Linked DNA regions of Arabidopsis thaliana. The protein of the gene in region 1 interacts with the protein of each later gene in a pairwise test. Each region holds a gene or a part of one and is shown in the gene's direction. Other genes may lie near its edges.

Evidence for each region.
Region 2: the proteins of AT5G58575 (region 1) and HAP8 interact in a two-hybrid assay, tested with the Arabidopsis thaliana proteins (one large-scale study listed by BioGRID).

What each region holds. Positions count from the first base shown.
Region 1 is NC_003076.8:23,671,961-23,676,169, forward strand, and holds AT5G58575 (SAGA-associated factor-like protein), read left to right. Parts: upstream 1-1,572; 5' UTR 1,573-1,596; intron 1,597-1,702; 5' UTR 1,703-2,138; intron 2,139-2,401; 5' UTR 2,402-2,438; coding exon 2,439-2,477; intron 2,478-2,643; coding exon 2,644-2,955; intron 2,956-3,069; coding exon 3,070-3,264; 3' UTR 3,265-3,683; downstream 3,684-4,209. Other genes in the region: FOLK (Phosphatidate cytidylyltransferase family protein), read left to right, coding at 96-211, 318-610; AT5G58570 (uncharacterized protein), read right to left, coding at 910-1,170. UniProt on the Arabidopsis thaliana protein: Component of a deubiquitination module (DUB module) that specifically deubiquinates monoubiquinated histone H2B (H2Bub). Does not seem to be a component of the TREX-2 complex. Seems to act independently of the SAGA multiprotein complex.
Region 2 is NC_003076.8:22,767,926-22,774,779, reverse strand, and holds HAP8 (hapless 8), read left to right. Parts: upstream 1-1,758; 5' UTR 1,759-1,978; exon of another isoform or gene 1,979-2,178; intron 2,179-2,793; 5' UTR 2,794-2,910; coding exon 2,911-3,038; intron 3,039-3,474; coding exon 3,475-4,447; intron 4,448-4,527; coding exon 4,528-5,862; 3' UTR 5,863-6,327; downstream 6,328-6,854.

The sequences.
Region 1 (4,209 bases):
TTAGCATTCTTGGTATCTATGATCAAAATTCGGTTTGTCTGTTTATTATTGCTTTTGTCACTTCACAAAGTGTCTGTAGTCGCTCTCTGCATCAGGGAACTACTTAAGGGGCCGCTTTACTATGTACTGTCAATCACATCAGCCTGCATCTACTATTGGAAATCATCCCCAATCGCGATTGCGGTGATATGCAACCTTTGCGCAGGAGATGGTAAGTACAGTTAGCTCTGGTTTGATCCAATAACATTAGCAACTTTTGTCTTAGGAATTTGAATCCATTGAATGATGATTCTAATACACACACTTGCTGTTAAAAGGTATGGCTGACATTGTGGGTCGGCGGTTTGGAACAGAGAAGCTTCCTTACAACAAAAACAAATCATTTGCTGGTAGCATTGGAATGGCCACCGCCGGGTTTCTAGCATCTGTTGCGTATATGTACTACTTTGCTTCATTTGGTTACATCGAGGATAGCGGGGGAATGATTCTTCGTTTCCTCGTCATCTCTATAGCATCAGCTCTTGTGGAATCACTCCCAATAAGCACCGACATTGACGACAATCTCACCATTTCCTTAACCTCTGCCTTGGCCGGATTCTTACTCTTCTAATAATACCCTCTCGTTGTTATGTATCATCAAATAAAGGGTCGAGCTTGATTGCTGATATGGAGGTAAAACTGCATTCATTGTTCCCATCTTCTTCTGTATGTACGTATTAGTGAAACATCTCATATTGTTGTTGTCCACAAATCTTATTTTTCAGCTGCAATTGCAGTTGGGTACAATGTTGTAATGTTCTATCCATTAGTGAGACATATGATGACGAACAGTGACGCTTCTACAATTTGTAACAGATACTCTTTTGTAACAGATATTCAATACATGTTTGTTTGTTATTTGGCCTATGGCTATGTGGAAATGGATTGTTTGCTTACAACAGGTGAGGGCTTGAGTGTCCCGCTCCAGGAAGCCTCTTCTGACAGGTCGGACTGGTGACTGTAACGGCGTTTCAGACAAGGAAGCAACACGAGGAACAAGAGGAAGACGGCGAAGCTGATGACAAGAACTACCGTCAAGATCTCACCATGCATGGCGTAGTGTCTGTCTCTAGTGAAAGTAAGTCGTTCGCCATCTTCAGGACTCGAGGCCTCCACCGTAGAAGTTACCATTAGAGAGGTAATCTCAAATATTCTCAAATCTCAACTCCTTTGCTCATACCTACTTCATACTGTCATGCATCATCTTGGAGGGATTTGTGTCTGTTTCTTTTTCCTCTCTGAAATATAAATTTGACTTGGGAGAATATGTATCAAATGAAAACAATATGTCACCACAGAAGAAAAGAAGAGTTTAAATATATTTCTTTGGGATAATTTAGTAGATGGATTTTTGTATAAAGGTTGGTGTAGAAAGTGAGACTGGGACGTTCGTTAGTGATTGCTCTCTACATATGGGGCGTTGGATTGGGTCTTTTTGGATCTTACGTGCGACGTCGTTTTCGTAATTTGAAGAAAATCCTTTTCGTGTGGCTCCCATAACCGACTCCGTGACTTTCCCGGAAATTTCCTCAAGAGAGAAGCGACCTTGTGTCTCATGTTAGTTGCTTCTTCTTCTGCCCTTATTTATATGAATACAAAAATTAATTACTCTTTGATTTGGCCCATTTAAAATTGCTAACTTCTTCACGCATTCTCGAAATAGAAGAAAACGTGGTATGCTTGTATTAATTGAATGGTTCTGAAAGAGACATTTTCAGAAGAAACAAAAAAGCAATTGTGCCAAACTAGAAGAAGAAGCTATAATCGAGGTGTGCTCTACTGAGATTTTGCATGGGTGCTGCAAAAAAAAAAAAGAGATTTGAATGGGCCATGAGATGGGCTTTTAATAAAAAAATCATAACAGAAATTAGATGACGTGGAGTGTCGTTTTCTTTCTATTCGAGGTGACGGTGAGAAGGAAAACCGTGTCGTTTATATGATTAAGTAAAGAAACGCTTGCCGTTTAATATTTTAGCTTGGCCTGGGTGCCGTGGCAAGTCATGATTGGTGGTTTCTTCGCCGATGTAAAATTCAACAGATCGAGAGAGAAAAAACTCTCTCTCCCTCCTCCGTTCACCGTCGCGACTCGGCTCTACAGTGTAAGCTTTCTGATTCTACGGCGATTTCGTTTCTGTATCTATGCTTGTAGACTGGGTTTGTTTTATTGGATGATTTGATTTGGAACCTGAAACAGTAAAGTTGTGAGGAATGAGTAGTAGAGTTTCCTATCACAGAAACTCCAAAACGAATCTGTTAGATAGTGATGATCGACTTTTTTGATTTCTGGAGAAATTCGCTTTTTCTAGGGCTCCTGATGGTGATGGAAATCTCTCTTTACGATTTGGTTTTGATTTTCTCGCAGACATTTTGTTGAGCAATCTCGTATTTAGAGGATTCCAATGTCTGGCGCAGAGGATAATAAATCTTCCCATGCTCAGGTATTTGTTCATTTAGTCTCATCTCATGATGAATTCAATTACTGTTTATATGCTCCACATTCTCGTTCTATGTAAAACTATTAAGATTTCTCCTCCTTGTTAAAGTAACTGCCTAGTGGAAACTAAGTTAGACTTACGTTTCTTTGCTCTTGAACTTTGCTTGCAGCTTTCGTCCCAAATTTTTCTTGATCTTGTGGATTCGGTGATAGCTGATGTAGCATCTGAGTGTCATCGGGTAGCACGACTAGGACTTGATCGTGATTTGGATATAGTAGAAGAAGAGTTGAGATTGTCAGTGGAAGCGCGTGCGAAGATCGCTGATCCTAGCAACAACCTCGAAACCAACACCAAATATGTTGTTGATATATTTGGGCAGACTCACCCTCCTGTAGCTAGTGAAGTGTTCAATTGCATGAACTGTGGGCGACAAATTGTTGCAGGAAGGTTTGCTCCTCATCTCGAAAAATGCATGGGAAAGGTGATCTTATTGCTTGCATGCCTCCTTATCTCTGTCAGATAGTATTCCAGAATGTGTTGTTTCATTGAACCTCTAGTCCTTACTTTTTTTTTTTTTTTGGAAACCACCTAACAGGGAAGAAAGGCTCGTGCCAAGACAACCAGAAGCACAACGGCTGCACAGAACCGGAATGCACGACGCAGCCCCAATCCACGATATTCTCCTTATCCAAATTCTGCTAGTGAGAACCAGTTAGCAAGTGGATCACCTGGTGTTGCAGGTGAAGACTGCTCAAATTTCACAGTTCGAGAGAACGTGAAAGGAGACTGAAGTACAACTGATGAGAGGCTTATACTGATTACTGAACGACAATGTGGCTAGTAACTGACTCGACCAGACTGGTATAAATCGAATTGCTAGGTTTATATTCAGTTCACAAAAAAAGAGAGAAAAGCGGCGCAAAAGGAAAAGTAGCGGAGGTTCATAATGTAGCTATTTCTACAGCTTACTAATGGGGTATCAATATATTAGTACATGCACCATCATGTTATAATTACAAAAAACTCTGTAGAGTCCTCAATCAAACAGTTCCCACTGTTGTGTTATGATTGTTAAAGTGTTTGGAGCAAAAGAAAAGCACAAAATTCCGGACCTGGCAAAGGCAAATCCTGCTTGGTTGCGTTGTGGTTCATGTCGCGGTTGACTGTTTGTTTTCTGACAAGAAACAGTAAAAACAGACAAGTCTTTGGAGCAAAAGAAAAACACATTCGCTGGGGAATTTATATAAACAAATCGAAGCATTATTATTGTACATCAACCATAGGGCCTAACATGGGCCTAAGCTTGTGCTGTTGGTTCTTCACTATATCAAACTTGTCATCATCACATACAAATCTCATTTTCATGGGCCTTAAGGTGGGCTTTTATAAAAAACAATTTAGCACAAATTAGAGAACGTGGAGTTGTATTCGCGGTCACGGTAAAACGAAACGGACATAATAAAAAAAGTGTTTGTGATTGTTCCAGAAGAAATGAAACAAAAGATACGGTATAAAACTAATAGAGGAAACGCTTGCCGTTTAACGTTTTAGCTGCTGCAGTGCCGTGGCAAGTCATGATTGGTTGATAAAATTATAGAGTGATTGGGTTCGGGGCACTGCAGCAGCTATGATTCAGAAGTCCGCCGACTCGCCACGGCACGAACCCAATCAACCTCATCACTCATTCTACCGATTTTGGCCTCTTTTGTGAATAGTTTAGCTTTTGTCCTTAGGG
Region 2 (6,854 bases), 900 kb from region 1:
ACATTAATAAATAAAAGCATCATAAAAAGTTAGACAGACCACACCATCACCATGTTCATGCCATTGATAATTTGACGTATATGTGGACATTTCATGTTTTCTCTTTAACACTCCTTTGTTTTTATACATAGGATCTACAATAAGTCTATTATTTCTAGCATATTTTGTATCTATCGAATCTTCTCAATCAAAAGTTAAATTATATGTTGAAATATGTCTTTGATCACATATTGATGTTGTAAAATAATTTGGATGATATGACACTCTAGACTAAAATAAGTAAATTCTAGACCATACAAATCTATAATTGATTCCAATTAGACACGAATATATTATACCACGACCACTTGTTTCTCAATCTAATTTGATGGAACTTATTAATCAAAAGCTAAAAACGGCTGCTCTTTAGATTTATCATTGCGATTAAGAAGCTATAATTTGTTTTTCTTGTTTTGGTGTCTTGCTTGAATCCATTACTTATCAATTTGTCATTCATTACTTCACCAAAAAAAAAAAAAAAGAATAGTGTCGTGTAGCGAAGGAATTATGGGACCTCCAATAAGTCCATAGGGCATGGAATATGACTTAACGAGGAAAATGATGTTTGACTAAAACCATAATTTCACGTTTCCACAAAATGGCACTATCCTCTCTTATTTAATTCTATGATTTTTCTTAATTTCTCTTAATAAGGTGATGATTTAACGATAATTCTGGCTGTTGATACATTCGTTTTAAAAAGATCAAAATATGAGATATCTCATGGTTTATACTTTATAGAACTTGTAATTTTGAGAAAAAGTGGTTATGAGTGCCTACATAATTCTATATGCACTAACATATACATGACCAACTTTTTCAAACAATTGGATCCTTTTTTTCGTAAACATTTGGCTTGCTCTCAAAAACAGTCAAGACATCATGTTCTTATTTATTTTCACCTTTAAAAAGGACAATAAAAACCATTGATTCTGAATCAAAATCACTTTCTTTCATTTCCATGATTCCAAATTCTTCGACCATTTATTCTATGACTTTAAACGTTGGAAATTTTTCCGGCCGATGCCTTCATATCTCATCTCAAAGATATCATGGTCATTGGTTTGTTCCACGCATGTTATATGCTCCACCTTAATATTCTCCGAGAAGATCTTATATCGCCTAAGGTCATAGATTCATCTATCTATTATTCCATAGCCATATCACAGAAGAAACAATCTTAATTAAGGTCATATAATAGAACCGAACGATCATTTGTTCACAAACCGTCTCGATCGTTCTTATGGAAACTTCCCATAATTTGATAAACTTTTCAAAAGACTTTATCCCAAAACTAAAGTGAGTCAACCCTCATTTAAGTCAAGATTTCATTTGCTTTTCATTAATGGTCGAATCATCCATAGGAAAAAAAAAAGCATTTCTAGCCCCTCCACAATTCATATCTTTGGGTTTCGAAGAATACAAAAATTTATACTAATTAACAAGAACATACATAAATTCTTAATTATTTTTTATAACTAAAGTTTCTTACCTTACCATAAATTAAAAATTCGAAACATGATTACATTTTGTATAAACAATGATAGAAAGTAGAAACCACTTCTTAAAAAACACGATACAAAAAGTTAGCAGCAGCCTCTACTTGTCTCGTTCAGTTCAAAGCCCAAAATTTAAATAAAGTTAGCAGCATTAAAAAAATGGTTTGAAAAATGAAAACAACTATTTAGGAATTCACACAGCTCACTTACAGACATACGAAAGGAACAGCGACGAGGAAAAAAAAAAAAAAATTCATTTAAACATTTCTTTACTTTAAGTTTATTTTATAAGTAAACAGTATGTTTATTTAATACTTAGGGAACCTGATACCACTTTGATGTGTTAGTGCGTGGTTCTTGTTCATCTCTCTCTCCCTCTAACAAAAATCTTTTCTTCTGCCAAGAAAAACTATTTCTGAAAATAATCAAATCCTCTAAAGGTTTCTGTCTATTTACTGATATAATTTTTATCTGAAACTTTTATTTTAGCAACTCTCTTCTTCTTCTCTCTTCGTCGTCTTCCTACTTCTTTGTTTTTTCTTTCTTTGTATTGTCTCACCGATTTACAGTTTCTTGTTCTTACTTTACTTTGAATCTTTATTAAGTTTCAAAGATCCAAACTTATACTCTTCAAAAATAGGTATGCTTATTATAAGTATATATCTTTAATCCTCTGTAAGTTTTTGATATTTTATGATCCATTTCTTCTGTTCATAACATTATAAAAAAGGGTTTTGTTTCTTGGATTCCTAATATTGTCTTCTCAGATTTGTTGTTAAATCTCATGTTCCAGTTGGTTCATCCATAAGTAGAGATTATAGTTTTTCTTAAGGGTTAGATTATCTTCTTTCAATGTGTTCATTTTTTTTTTAGAAAAAAAAATAAATCTCAATGAACTTTGGTTTAAATCTCACCAAATGTATGTTCTTTTACCTTCTGTGTCTTGATCTATTAGTTTCTTATTGTGATGTCTTTGAGTTTCATATGATTCCTTGCATAAAATAACACTCCAATCAGATTAGAAACTGATGCTTGTTTTTAGGGGAAAAACTTTGAAGAATTAAAAACCAACTCTTTTGATTGTTCCTATTTGTGATTTGCTTCACCAATCAAACCCATATACTTGAAAATCTCACCCACTAATCCTAATTTTATTCTCTGTTTTTTTTCTAACCTTCACATGAAATAATATTTTTTTACTTGATCTTCTCAAGTTTCTGGGTTTTAAAGACTTAAACTTTAAACTCTTTTTCAGGTTTCATAGGCTCTCAGATTTGGTATTATAAAGATCTGGTGTTATGCAGAAGAGCAGGGACGACAAGGTTGATAAAAGTGAAGAAGTGAATAGTAGTAACAGTGGAAGAAGAATCAAATGTTCTTATCATCCACTGATCAAAGAAGCCCTTCTAATAACAATCCATCATCTTCTTCTAGTTTCTTACATCTGACCAACTCTTGTGATGAGTTAGGTCAATCACATCTTTCAACTTTCTCCATCAGGTAATCTTAAAGTTTCTTCTTCTCCGATTTTGTTGGGGGTTTTATGGAGAAGAAGTCAACAGTTTCTTGTTCTTCACCATTGTTTTAGGAGGCTTAAAGTCTTTAGCTTTCTTGTTAGGTTTGATTACTGATACATCTTTTCTTCTCATCCATTCATTTTTGCTAAATGGGTCAGATTCAAAACAAAATGCTTTTTATTTTTATTTTTCTTTCACCTTCTGTGATTATGTGGAGCTTAATGGTATTGAGTTTTGACTATTCTTTGATCCGTTGGTCCATGATCTGAACGAGTCTCAGTATCATCAAAGAACAAACTTTTCTTTGTTGTGTCATGTCTCTCAGAAGTTTTTTTTTTTATAAAAGCCTGTACCTATGTTTTGTCTGGTTGTTGTACTACTAATGGTTGATGATTTGGTTTTTGTGATGTTTTTTGCAGAGATTATGCATTTAGTTACCGGACCAAGAACATCAAGAAAAGTTGGCCTTTTTCCTCAACAAGTTTGCAACTTTGTTTAAATCATGGCTTAACTGATCCATTGCCACCGATTCAGCCTCCTGAAGTGAAGAAGCCAAACATAACTCATGTGGAAGCGGTAAGTCACAAGAGAAAGTCAGAGAAACTTGGCTCTTATCAGATATTAGTAGAGACTACTAAACAAGGATTTGAGAATGGTTTGTTGGCGAGTGGTTCGAAATCCAAAATACAAGTAGCTATGGTTAACAAGAATCCTAGAAAAAAGTGTGGGTTGATAGTGAAACCTGGAGCTTGTGTGGATAGTGGTGGAAAAGAAGATCATAGTAGCCTCTTTTCAGCTTCTGATTCTATGGCTTTGAGAACTTGTCCCATCTGCAAAACCTTCTCGTCTGCTTCTAACACTACTTTAAATGCGCACATTGATCAGTGTCTGTCTGTTGACTCGGGGCAGCAGCCGATTCGTAAGCCAAACAGGCCTAAGACTAAGCCACGGTTGAAAGTTAAAACCATGACTGATATCTATGCTTCTGCGAAAGAAGGCACATTAGAAGATCTTGATAAAAGAAATGGCACAAAGTGGGCTATGATTTCGAGCTACTCTAACCGTGTTGTCTCTGATGATAAGCCTGAAGTGTCCAACAAAGTAAAGAAGCGAAGCGTGTCGCGTGCTCGCATTGATGAAGATGCTGCTGGCATTGGACCTGTTTACATTGATGCTAAGGGCCAAAAACTGCGGATTTTATCTAAGTTTAACGAGAAAGCTTCTGATCCATCAAGAAGAGAGCATGAAGAAGTTTGTGAGAAGAAATCTTCTAGTGAAGGTAAAGGGGGCAAAAGCTTTAGGAAAAAACTTTGGGGAGAGAAACATTACAAGCATCGTAAACTAGTTCCTCAAAACAGAAAACTCACTGTTCGTAAAAGCAATGCTTCAGAGGTAATTATGCCTTTGCATGATCCGTTCTTGATTTGGTTGTTAGATTAGTAACACAAGTTTCTTTATCATTTTTGTAACAGATACCGGAGTATCGAAGAGGATATTCTAAAGAAGGTAAAGACTTTGAGAGGTCAGAAACTTCAGGTCCTGGTCAAGGTAGAATATTCAACCAGCGGATGCTAACAAAGCGTTCTCTTTCAAGGCATGGAAAGAAGAATGGGACAGACATTTGTGAATCTGAGAATTGGAATTCATTGTCAGAAGATCCTCTTGTGTTAAGAAGTCCAAGTCATGTGAGTACTGATTTGTCCGAGACAGTTTCTTCTCCTTTAAACAGTATAGGGTCATGGAGAGTTTGTGGGGAGAGCCAAGTTTCTGGAAAGAGCTGGGCTTTGTCTAGGAACAGAAGCATTGAAAGTGATTTATTTGTAGCAAATCCCTTGAGATGTTTAACACCTGTGGCGAGAGGCGTCATGAAGTTCAAGAAAGCTCGAATGGATTTCTCTGAGAATGAAGATGAAGATATAGGGAAATGGGAGTCTGAAATGACTCAAGAACGTGAACTGTCAGATTATGATGGTTGGGATGATGATGATGGAGAAACAGATAAGGTTGCGCTAAGCTCAAATCCTTCGTTTAGCGGGGAAGACAATGATTATGAAAGCTATGAAGAGACTGGTGATAACAAAGGAGGTGATGATATGTTGGACAAAACTAAAGATGCAGATGTTGAGTTTGAAAGCATGGTTTATGAGAAAACTGGTTGCGAAACCGCGGAACAAGAAAGCTCGTTCATGGAGGTTGATCCCATTCCTATTCCAGGACCTCCGGGATCATTTTTACCAAGTCCTTGGGATATGATGGGAACTGATGCAGTTGAACATCATGGAAACTCTTCAGTTATCACAAGCCAAGTCCACTCTTCACAAGATCAGTTTGATCTCACTGACAGAAATTCATCGGAATCACCTGTTTCAGCAATTTCAAACTTTGCAGCTCCTGAAACACAGACATTAAGTCTTCATAACATCATCACCACTGACAAGAGACCTTCCAGATTCAGAGACAATGATCAATCATGTTGTTGCCAAAGAAAGGAGAAAGCTCTTGAAGATACAACATTTTGTCAACCACCACCACCACAAATGATCCAACAAGATTTGGATTTCCTGAGTAAGTCTGTGCCTGCGGTTCCTTCAACTCCCAACCCGGTGTTGCGGCTGATGGGAAAGGATTTGATGGTTATTAACCAAAGAGAAGAGCCTTCACACAACGAATCAAGTCCAAAACCAACCTCTCAGTTTCTAGATCTTTCTAAGACACAGCAAGCGTCTCCTTCTGTTAATCTTCTTCATCCTCCTTACAGCGGAAATGGTTATTTCGACACCAATACAAGCTTCTACAACATCCCATGAAAGTTCAGACCAAGAACTCTACTTCTCTCCAAGATACTAAATAATATTCCATGGCATTTCAGATCAAAGTCCAGGCATTTTCCTTAAGCTTGAGATCTTGAGAAGCTAGACACCTCAAGATCTCATGTTTCTCTATAATAAAGAGGTTGAGAATCTCAAAAAGGCTGCTTTAGAAAGACAATGGTGAGACTGAGATAAATTCTCTCCTCATAGGATGATATATATGAGAACTCCACTAAGGTAAAAGGACCCCCACTTTTGTTTTAAGTTTTAAGGATGAAAACTTATAATTATAATGTTATGAAAGCGAATTTAAAATAAATTATATAAGAGTTAACATCATGATGCTTAATTCTCTCTATTTAGATATAAATATTTGTATGGTTGAAATCATATGATGTAGTCAAGATCATAGTCACCGTCATGACATACATTATTATGTATACGCAATTCATTATCTTTTTTTTCCTCACTCATTCCTTATTTTAGATTGCAAACATATAGACTTTATTATACACATTGATATTGAGCGTAAACAATGTCAAAATTAGATGGACAAGGATTTTATACAAAACAACAAAAAAAGAAATAGTTGCATTTGGTGTAGATGAGCTGTTTTATTATTGTTACAAGAAAATTTAAATAAAAATAGGGAGAATATTTTAGTGAAAATAATGAAATATATTTGCGTAGAGATGAGTACAAGCACAACGGCTATGTTGCATGCGCATTTTCAAAATCATTTGCTTATTATCATATGCTTCTCTCACTCCATGTCTTCTTTTGTTTTACATGTTAGTTGATACACATTTCTGTATAATATATAGACACACTTACGATTATATACATAGATATGTATGTATATTATTATTTGTCGCCGGTCCATAAAAAGTTTTATAAGCAAATATTTGCAAACTATACTATTAATGATTCATGCATTGGTAATTCAATTAGTTAGAAGAATGTTACTCCGATGATGTTATAGATCCAAA